2 linked regions of the Macaca fascicularis genome follow. The protein of the gene in region 1 purifies or fractionates together with the protein of each later gene. This does not show direct contact. Links are inferred from orthologs where the notes say so. Each region holds a gene or a part of one and is shown in the gene's direction. Other genes may lie near its edges.

Region 1 (4,857 bases):
AAAATTTCCTAGGTATGGTGGCACGTGCCTGTAATCCCTGCTACTCGGGAGGCTGAGGCAGGAGAATCGCTTGAATCTGGGAAGGTGCAGTAAGCCAAGGTCATGCCACCGCACTCCAGCCTGGATGACAGAGTAAGACTCCATCTCAAAAAAAAAAAAAGCAAACTTTCAGCCCCAGTTTACCAATCAGAAAGCTGAGAATGGTTTAACAAGCTCTCCAGGTGATTCTAATACACCCTAAAGTTGGAGAACCACCTTGATAATGGAAAGCAAAGAAGACTTTGGCATAGACAACCAACACACTTGAGCCAACCTTGAGATCCTCTGCCATCTATAAATCACTTTCGCAGTCCCTTCCAGGCTAGATGCTAAATCGGTTGCAATCTGGTAATGCACAAGGATGAGACACAAGTTGTATCTTGTCTCCATAATAAGTAAATTGTAAGAACTTCAAAGGCAGGGCTGATTCTACTTTTGGTCTTTTTCCCATTCTTCTCAAATTTCAGATGTCAGTGCAACACGTAGAAAATACAAGTACTGAAATTTAAGTAGCTCTTTAGGAAATAAGAAGAATTAACCTGGTGCAAGGGTTCTACCTTTATGAGGGAGAAATTGGAAAGCATACATGTACTTACAAATTTTCATAGTTTTTCTTATTGTTCTAAAATATACATAAAACGTAGCATTTTAACCCTTTAAAATGATGTACAGGTCAGCAGCATTAAATACGTTCACATTGTTCTGCAACCATCACCTCTATCCATTTACAGAATTTTTGCATCTTCCCAAATCGAAACTCCGTACCCATTAATTAATTGGTGCACTTTGCCTTGTTTTTTCTAATAGGATTTTTCTTTCCATTGATTTGTATGAGCTCATTGTAAACTAGAGAGACCAGCCCTTTGTCTTCTGCCAATTTATTTTTTTATTAATTCTATTCATTGGCGATTTTAAAAATTCTGTTCAGAAAATTAAAAATTTTCCGTGGAATCATAAAATCGTGTTTAGAATTATACTATGAAATCCTTTATGACTTGAGTGTTGCTATCTTGAAAACTTTCATCATCTCAACGTTATGAATATCTGCACTTACATTTTCTTCTAAGTTTTTGTTAACATTTCAATATTTAATCCACAAAGGTTTCACTTACATGTGTTTTCCCCAAATGGGTAATCAGCTCTTCAAACATTATTTACTGGACAGGCCATCCTTCCCCTACTAACGTAAATGTCATCTTTTCATACTAAATTTCTCCATACACTGGTCTTTACTCCTACATCTTCCATCAGTGCTTTTGAGAATTTTGAACACTCTTCCATCACACGCATGTACCATCATTTATTTAATTTATCTCCTATTAGTAGGCATTTGGGACGTTTCCTGCTCTTCCATACTAAACAACGCATATAATTTTGGACTACATTAAACAATTCTCTGCCTCAGTGGTTCAAGTTGGGTAAATTATGCGTTTACACTTTTCTTCGGATTACTTTTAAAATGACAACCACTATGTTTTCCTGGTCTCAATTATCAGAGAATTGGCAAGAAACCTGACAGCTGGGGCTTAGGATTCCCCGCGCCAGACCTCTGAGCTACACCAGGAGGCGCAGTTTCCCTACTCGGCCTCGGCCACATCCGGGTTCCACCGCAGATTCGGGCAGGGAGCAGGCGGAACCTTTCTACCGCGTCTCTAGCTAACACGGCGGGGACAGTTTAGGCCTCCGCGCACCGTTCTCCGGGAGTCTTGCAGTTCGCTTGGTGCAGGGAAGGCGGGCGCGGAGGTTCTATCTGCTTCTTCCTCCTTCGTGAGCAGCATGGACGTGCTAGCGGAGGAGTTTGGGAACCTGACTCCGGAGCAGCTGGCTGCGCCGATCCCGACTGTAGAGGTGAGTGCCAGGCACTCATGGAGCGTCAGGGGCCTGGATGCGCCCTGAGGGGGCGTTGCCGGGAGTGCCGGGCCGCTAAGGGGCGGGCTGGAGGTTTGTGCGCATGCGCCGGGCATCTGCGCATGCTCAGAGCGTCGCGCGTGCCAGTCTTTTTCCAGAGCCGGCATCCGCGTGCGCGAGTGAAGGCTGAGCCCAGAGGAGCTGTCAGCCGCTGCAGGGGTCGAGAAGCCCCGCGGCTGGCTCTCGGGTTGGAGCTCTTCCGGCATAGGTGTGCGTGGGGAGGACTGGCCCTCGCACTTACTGTGGGGGACGTATTGCATGTTTGCAGTCTTACAAAGGACACTGGGGGCCAGGGAGCTCAGGCTGCTTGCATGAAGCACCGCAGCTGGCTGTGGGGGTAAAACCAGATCGTCTGAATTCCAAGCTAGTCATCTTGCCTTTTAACCTGAAGTTCAAGTTTGGGTTGCAGGGGAATTTTAAACGCCCTGAATATTTACTAAAGAATTTGCCTGTGTGTTTTCTCAGGGAGAGAGTCCATAGCTTTCATCAGATTCTCAGAAGTTAAGGACAGCTGTCTCACAGCGAGCTGCCCAATGAAGTATGGCTGTCGACATGTTTTGTTATCTGATAAGGCACATATCATAACCTCTCTGAGCCTCAAAATCTACACTGACGTGGAATAGGGAAGTGGAGACGTGGCCGGAGACGATAGCAAAGGAGAGATTTCAGGGAGAGAGAATAAGATACTTGAAACCTCCTCGGCAAGACCATTGGATGTTTTTGAGGAAGGAAAGTAAATCCAGTAGTATTCGAGTGAAGAAAAATAGAGGAGGAGAGATAAAAGACAGGGTTAAGTAAGGGTCTTGATTATGAAAAGTTTCAATAAACATCTGACAGAGCTTGGACTTTGTCTTGGAGCAGAGCTTTTGAAGGGTTTAAGCAGGAAAGTGATATAATGAGTAAATCTGTCGGATTATAGGAACCTCCTTGGCTAGGCGTGATGACTCACTCCGGTAATACCAGCAGTTTGGGAGGCCAAGGCGAGCGGATCACTTGGGCTCAAGAGTTTGAGACCAGCGTGGGCGACATGGCAAAACGCTATCTCTGCAAAAAATACAAGAATTAGCCGTGTGTGGTGCTGTGCACTTGTTGTCCCGGCAACTCAGGAGGCCGAGGTGGGAGGATCACTTGAGCCTGGAAGGTCGAGGCAGCAGTGAGCTGTGATTGTGCTACTGCACTCCAGCCTGGGTGACTGAATGAGACCTTGTCTTGAGGAAAAGAAAACAAAACCTCTTTATAATAATTTGACAAGTTAAGGAAATTGGATTAGCAGTTCGTCAGATTCAGTCTATGAGTGCATGCAATAGGCTGCTGATCTTCATCAGGTAAAACTGTGTGTGTGTGTGTGTTTTTTTTTTTTTTTGAGGTGGAGTCTCGCTCTGTCACCCAAGCTGGAGTGCTGTGGCGCGATCTCAGCTCACTGCAAGCTCCGCCTCCCAGGTTCACGCCATTCTCCTGCCTCAGCCTCCCGAGTAGCTGGGATTACAGATGCCCGCCATCATCCCCAGCTAATTTTTGTATTTTTAGTAGAGAAGGGGTTTCACTGTGTTAGCCAGGCTGGTCTCGAACTCCTAACCTCGTGATCCGCTACCTCGGCCTCCCAAAGTGCTGGGATTACAGGCGTGAGCCACCGCGCCCCGCTGCAAAACTGTATTTTAACCATGAAAAGTAAATATCAAGGAGCCAGCATTCCCTGAGCACTTGCTAATGTACCAGGCTCTGTTTAACCATAACATGCGTTATGTTATTTAATCCTCTGAAATAAGTGCTATTTTCACCCCCATTTTGCCAGAGAGGCCCAGAGATGTGAAGTAAATAGCCTTGCATTAGAAGGCTGGTAAGTGGCTAATCTGACTCTTGTCAGTCTGACTCTAGTCTTCATCCCTAACTGCTGATCGGATTGCTTCTCCAGAGAGCTGAAAAAATAAGCCTGGGAGAGTTCTATGTATTGTGTGAATTTACACAGCTATGAAGTGATCAGTGCTATAATTCCAGCCTTCTGATTCAAGAATAACAGTTCCTCTTCCTGCTCTCTGGATCCAGTCCACCATCACCTCTAAAAAGTCTTGAGTTCTTAATCTATGCTTATCTGAAACTTCATTCCCACTGTTTTCCAGCCCAGAACCACTCTCCTCTCTTACGTCCTAACTCTCCTACCTGGCACCTGACTTGTCCCAATCCAGTCTGTTCCTTGCTCTGCAGCCAGAGCTGTCCATCTAAACACACAAACATGGTTATGTTGCTCCCTTGGTTAAAATTCTTCAATCTCTGTTGCTTTTAGGGCAAAATCTAGTGTTTACCATGTTTGTAATAAATTTCCTCAGTCTGACCAGTAGTTACTTCTCTAGCGTCTTTTCCCATGATTCTCCCCTCTCCCTCCCTTGAGATCTTTCTACTCTGCTCGTACAATTCCTTCTGGATCACTCTCCCATTCCTATTTGTAGATTAAATCCCACATATCTATGATACAACTTCCCTAGGAAGGCCTTTCCTGAGTCTCCTAGAAGATGGTAGATCTCTACTACTTGCTGCCATTTCCTTTTAAATTGAGATATTAAAATATTTACTTAAACTTTCCAACTTCAGTGTTTTCTCTAAAACTTTTTCTAGATAAGAGCTCAGTTTTACTTGAACTGGCCATGCCTGGTGTGTATTTTTTTGTGCTTATGGTAGTACAGCAGCATGGTAGTATGGTAGAAATAACACAAGCTTTGGAGCCAATTAATCAGTTATTTGTTGAATAAATATTTATCAGTATTACTGAGTACTTACCTGGTGGTGTATTATTCACAGGGTTTATATAAGTTCAAAAAATGTGTCTTCTGCCTCCCAGTGTGTTATAGGCTTATAGAGAGAGACATGTAAGCAGGTGGAATAACATGCAATAGGTACTGTGATACAAGTAGGCGA
Region 2 (4,838 bases), on another chromosome or scaffold:
CGCAGGACAGGCCCTGGACCCTCCTCCAGGAAGCCTCCGGGCCCCCACCCACTCCCCAGGGCCCACCCTGCTAACATCCCGGACCCCCCTTCCTCCCTCACCTCCACAGCCACCAGCAGCCTCTGCAGCTGAGCCTGGCTCTGACCCCAGGCCACCGTTACTCACGGCCCCTGTCCTGCCCCTCTGCCAGAGCAGGATGTGCGTCCACTCATCCTGGGGGGAGGGGGTCAGGGAAGGGAAGTGGCCTCCGCTCGTGGCTCTGCACGTGGCTGGGTGGGGTATGACAAATGCCACTGGGGAAGCTGCCCAGGGCCCTGGCCAGGTTGGGAGCAGAAATCCCAAGTGTGCAGTGGATCTGGCCAGCACCACTCTGGATCCAGAAAACCCTTCATCCTCCTCCCCTGCAACTAAGGCAGACCCAGCATTGCCCTGAGAAAGCGGCAGCTGATGCCTGGAACCCAGCACAGGTCCCACCCCAGCTGGAAGCCCCAGCCCAGAGCCCCCCCATGGGTGCCACTTTGCAGCCCACCCACCCCCCCACAGCCTACCTGGCACCTCCAAGGAGTCTTCTTTGCCTCCTACTGCACACCGACCCCCCATTTCCTCACCCCCACCCTAGGGGCACAGCAAGGAGGGTGCTGGTGCCAGCCCCCCCGCACTCCATCCGAGAGACACGGGCTCCCCCTCCCTCGTCCTCCGTAGGCCCTGAGCTCCAGGGCAAGGCAGAGCTGCGGCCTTCAGCGGGTCCTGCCAGTGCAGCCTCCGGGAGTCTGCCCAGGGGTCCCCTGTGCCGCGGTCTTCAAGGTTCAATTCAAAGAGCACCTCTTCCACGACGCCCTCCCCGACCTCCCTCCCGGGCCCCCTCTCCCCGTGCTCAGAGGCGCGTCTCAGCGTCGGGACGGCCAGCAGCCCAGCAGAGCCGGGACCGGGGAGGGCGCACCCCGACCCCCTTCCTGGGAAGGAGCGGAAAGAACGCGGACAGGAGGCCGGGGCGGGGAGCAGCCGGCGGGGGCCGTAACTGCGCGGCCGAGGCCAGGACGGCGCTCCTAGGGGCTGGGCCGCGTCCAGAATGGGACCCCCGAACTCGGCGCCGAGAGCCCCGGACACCCCGCGAGTAGAGGCGGAGGCGGAGGGACCCACTACCCGGCGGGGCCAAGAGGGGCAGCAGGAAGACCCGCCCCGGTCCGCGCCCGCCCTCTCCCCAAGCCCCCGCGCCGGACCCCACTTGTTGCTGCGTGTCGGCTCTAGGCTCGAACTCGCGCGCCCCGCTCGCGTCCGGCTCCAGCCGCTCCCGGTCGGACACCTCGGGCCGCGAGACCCTGGCCGCACGCCCCCACGACCCCCCGGGCGCTCTACCTGCGCCGCCGCCTCCCGCTCGCTTCGTCCGCTCCCTCCGCGCAGCTGTCAGTCAAGCGGACACGAGAAACGCGAACCGCCACCGCGGCTTTCGGCCCTGCTCAGACGCCGTAGCTCCGGGACGCACCAAGATGGTGGGCGGGGGTGTGTCGTCTGTTGCTGCCGCGGCCGTGCAGGCCCAGGAGCCCCGGGCCGCATGGGGAATCCCCATGGCGGCGGAAATTGCGGCCAGCTGCGCCGGGGCCAGTGTATGAACGGCTGGGGCAGCGGAGAACGAGCGGAGCCGGTCCCCCCGCGATAGTGGACGCGCCCGGGGCGGGGCCTGGGGGGAGTGCTTCCCGTGCGGCCGGACCGGGCCGGGCAGTCTGGGACGCGCCGCCGCCATGATCATTCCTGTACGGTGTTTCACTTGCGGCAAGATCGTCGGCAACAAGTGGGAGGCCTACCTGGGGCTGCTGCAGGCCGAGTACACTGAGGGGTGAGGCGCGGGCTGGGGCCGGGGCTGGGGGCTGAGTCCGCCCTGGGGTGCGGGCCGGGGCGGGAGGCGCAGCGCTGCCTGGGGCCGGCGCTCCATGAGCAGCTTCATACCCGGCCACTCCGGCCCAGCTCTGTGATCTGCTTTCGGGAGAACATTGTCCCCTGAAGTCTGGGGAGAGAGCGGAGTTGGGCTTCAAACCAGTGGTGTCCTGGGGATTCTAGGTGGCCTGGCGGGTGGCAGGCGTCTTGTCACCCGCAGTAAAGCCCTTGGTCTCCGTCCTAATCTCTCGTCTCTGCTCCCAGACCCACCCCATGTCCTGCAAACCTCGCTGCAGGACAGGCGGGCGCGGCGGCTCACGCCTGTAATCCCAGAAGTTTGGGAGGCCGAGGCGAGAGGCTTGCTTGAGCCCAGGAGGTCGAGACCAGCCTGGACAACCTGGGGAGACCCTGATCTCCAGAAATTTTTTCTTTTTTTTTTTTGGGGGGGACGGAGTCTCGCTCTGTCGCCCAGGCTGGAGTGCAGCGGCGCGATCTCGGCTCAGTGCAACCTCTGCTTCCTGGGCTCCAGGAATTCTCCCCAGTCGCCGGGACTACAGGCGTGTCCACGCCCGGCTAATTTTTGTATTTTTAGTAGAGATAGGAGTTCGCCATGTTGGCCAGGCTGGTCTCGAACTCCTGACCTCAGGTGATCCACCTGCCTCGGCCTCCTGGAGTGCTGAGATGACAGGTGTGAGCCACCGCCCCTGGCCCTCTTATCTTTTTAATTCCCCGGACTTGGTGGTGCACACCTGTGGTCCCAGCTACTTGGAAGGCTGAGGCGAGAGAATCGCTTGAGGCTGGGAGGCAGGTGAAGATTTCAGTGAGCCGAGATCACGCCACTGCACTCCAGCCTGGATGAGAGAGTGAAACTCCGTGTCACGCACACACACACACACACACAGAAAAAGAAATGCAGGGCAGACTTGCTGACCACCCTCATCATCGGGCTTTGTGGGGGAGGCATCCTTCTCCTGTGCTTGTCCCTCAGTGCTGCTGTCACCACCGTGCCTGAGTCTTGGTGCCCCTGCTGGAGTCTGACCCTTGCCTGCTGAGTCCTGGTCACATGTGAAACCCCAGGCTCGTGTGTGCCAGCCTGCCATAGGCTCTCAGTGCAGCTTGCTGGACGAATGAGTAAAGCGAGTGGGCTGCCAGAGTGAGTGGCTGGTGGCCTGTCCAGACCCTTTCCCAGGGATATGAACTGCAGGGGCCTCCCATGTGGCCTCCCCTTTCCCAAGCTTCTCTCTCTGCACATTGGAGCCATCAGTGTGGGAGTTTTCTGGAAGTATTGATGGTGACTGGACCTTGGTCCCAGGGAAATTAAAGCTTCTAATTGGCTTGGGAAATGGGAGAGGTGGCTCCCTGGAGAAGCAGTCTCTCCCTGATTGAAGGAAGCAGAGGTGAGAAAAGACGCCACAGTGGCAGAGTAGGGCTTGCTCTGGGGTGGGGGATGAACCAGCTAAGGGCAGGCCCCTGGAGAGCTACCCTGCTGTGGCTGGTGCGGGATGAGGGGAGCTGCGCATCAGGACCTCGGTGGCCTTGGTTTTCTATGCTCCCCCAATTACCTCTAGTTTTCGTTTCATTTATATTTCTTACATATGTTAGACACACATATGTACAGCCAGAGTAGGTGGGAGAGAAGGCTCCTCACGCTCCACCCAGGGATCTGGGCATTGCCAGGTTACTCCAGCCAGGATCATACCGCTAGGTCTCTACTTCTCATCCAGGTGAATGTGTTCGCCTTGCCGGTAGCAGGGGAGTGAGGCCAGCAGGCAGTGAGAGGCGGCCTGGATGTGGGCTCCAGGCCTGTGCAGACCGTGGAGAACTCAGCTGGCCTCTCTGTTCCTCCCCTCGCTTGACACAGGGATGCGCTGGACGCCCTGGGCCTGAAGCGCTACTGCTGCCGCCGGATGCTGCTGGCCCACGTGGACCTGATCGAGAAGCTGCTCAATTATGCACCCCTGGAGAAGTGACCAGGCTGGAATCCGCCTACCTGCCATGCTGACCATGGGCCATGAGCATCCTGCCCCAAGTTCACAAGGCTGAGGCATCCAGGAGCTGGCGCAATGCCTCGCCACAGCGTGTGTGTGTCCCATCCCCCACTCTGGAAGGAACAATCCAGTAAAGGTCTTTCAGAACTACCAAGGTCCCAGCCCTCACTAGGATGTCAGGGGCCAGGACTAGGCCCAGCTTTCACCGCGGCAGCCCAGGGAAGCCGACTGGGCCATGAATTCTCCTAGCCCTGGGGCCAGCCTGTTCCACAGGTACCCCTGCAGGAGGTGCTGCCAGGAGAGCCTTCCATCTCAGGGCTGAGGTTCCCTCCTTCTGGGTGCTCTTCAGACTGAGCAGAGGCTCCTGTACTCTCTCTCTTGGAATCTGAAGAGCCAGATTTAGGCCAGGCACGGTGGCTCACCCCTATAATCCCAGCACTTTGGGAGGCCAAGGCGGGTGGATCACGAGGTCAGGAGATTGAGGCCATGCTGGCTAACACGGTGAAACCCCGTCTCTACTAAACATACAAAACAAAAAAAACAGCCAGGCGAGGTGCCGGGCGCCTGTAGTCCCAGCTACTCGGGAGGCTGAGGCAGGAGAACTGCTTGAACCCGGGAGGGGGAGCTTGCAGTGAGCCGAGATTGCGCCACTCACTCCAGCCTGGGTGACAGTGAGACTCCATCTCAAAAAAAAAGAAAAAAAAGAACCAGATCGTCTGGGGCCCAGTCTTTGCTATGGTCACGGATGCCAGCACCTGCTGGCCCCTGCCCACTGCTGCCTGTCCCTGAGGGTCCCACCCGAGTCTAGCAGGGAGGGCAGGCCTTAAGACACCCCTAGCTGGCTTGGGAGGCGGCCCTAAGGAGGCCCTGCTGTCCAGGCAGTGCTGCCAGCAAGCACCCCAGGTCAGATGGCCCTGCTGCTGAGATACCTGGCGTGGTGCCCTCTGGTGGGGGAGAATGGGTCTGCCTGAGGGTCTT

What was found. Proteins that work in one complex are often made in the same cells at the same time.
Region 2: the proteins of POLR3B (region 1) and POLR2L purify together in Homo sapiens (affinity purification with mass spectrometry; 5 studies listed by BioGRID and IntAct, with this or other methods). This does not show direct contact. The link is inferred for Macaca fascicularis from reciprocal best matches to the Homo sapiens genes POLR3B and POLR2L.

What each region holds. Positions count from the first base shown.
Region 1 is NC_088385.1:113,277,602-113,282,458, forward strand, and holds the start of POLR3B (DNA-directed RNA polymerase III subunit RPC2), read left to right. Parts: upstream 1-1,740; 5' UTR 1,741-1,815; coding exon 1,816-1,887; intron 1,888-2,043; exon of another isoform or gene 2,044-2,155; intron 2,156-4,857. UniProt on the Homo sapiens protein: Catalytic core component of RNA polymerase III (Pol III), a DNA-dependent RNA polymerase which synthesizes small non-coding RNAs using the four ribonucleoside triphosphates as substrates.
Region 2 is NC_088388.1:742,171-747,008, reverse strand, and holds POLR2L (DNA-directed RNA polymerases I, II, and III subunit RPABC5), read left to right. Parts: upstream 1-1,718; 5' UTR 1,719-1,739; coding exon 1,740-1,834; intron 1,835-3,733; coding exon 3,734-3,842; 3' UTR 3,843-4,010; downstream 4,011-4,838. Other genes in the region: TSPAN4 (tetraspanin-4), read right to left, coding at 1-77. UniProt on the Homo sapiens protein: DNA-dependent RNA polymerase catalyzes the transcription of DNA into RNA using the four ribonucleoside triphosphates as substrates.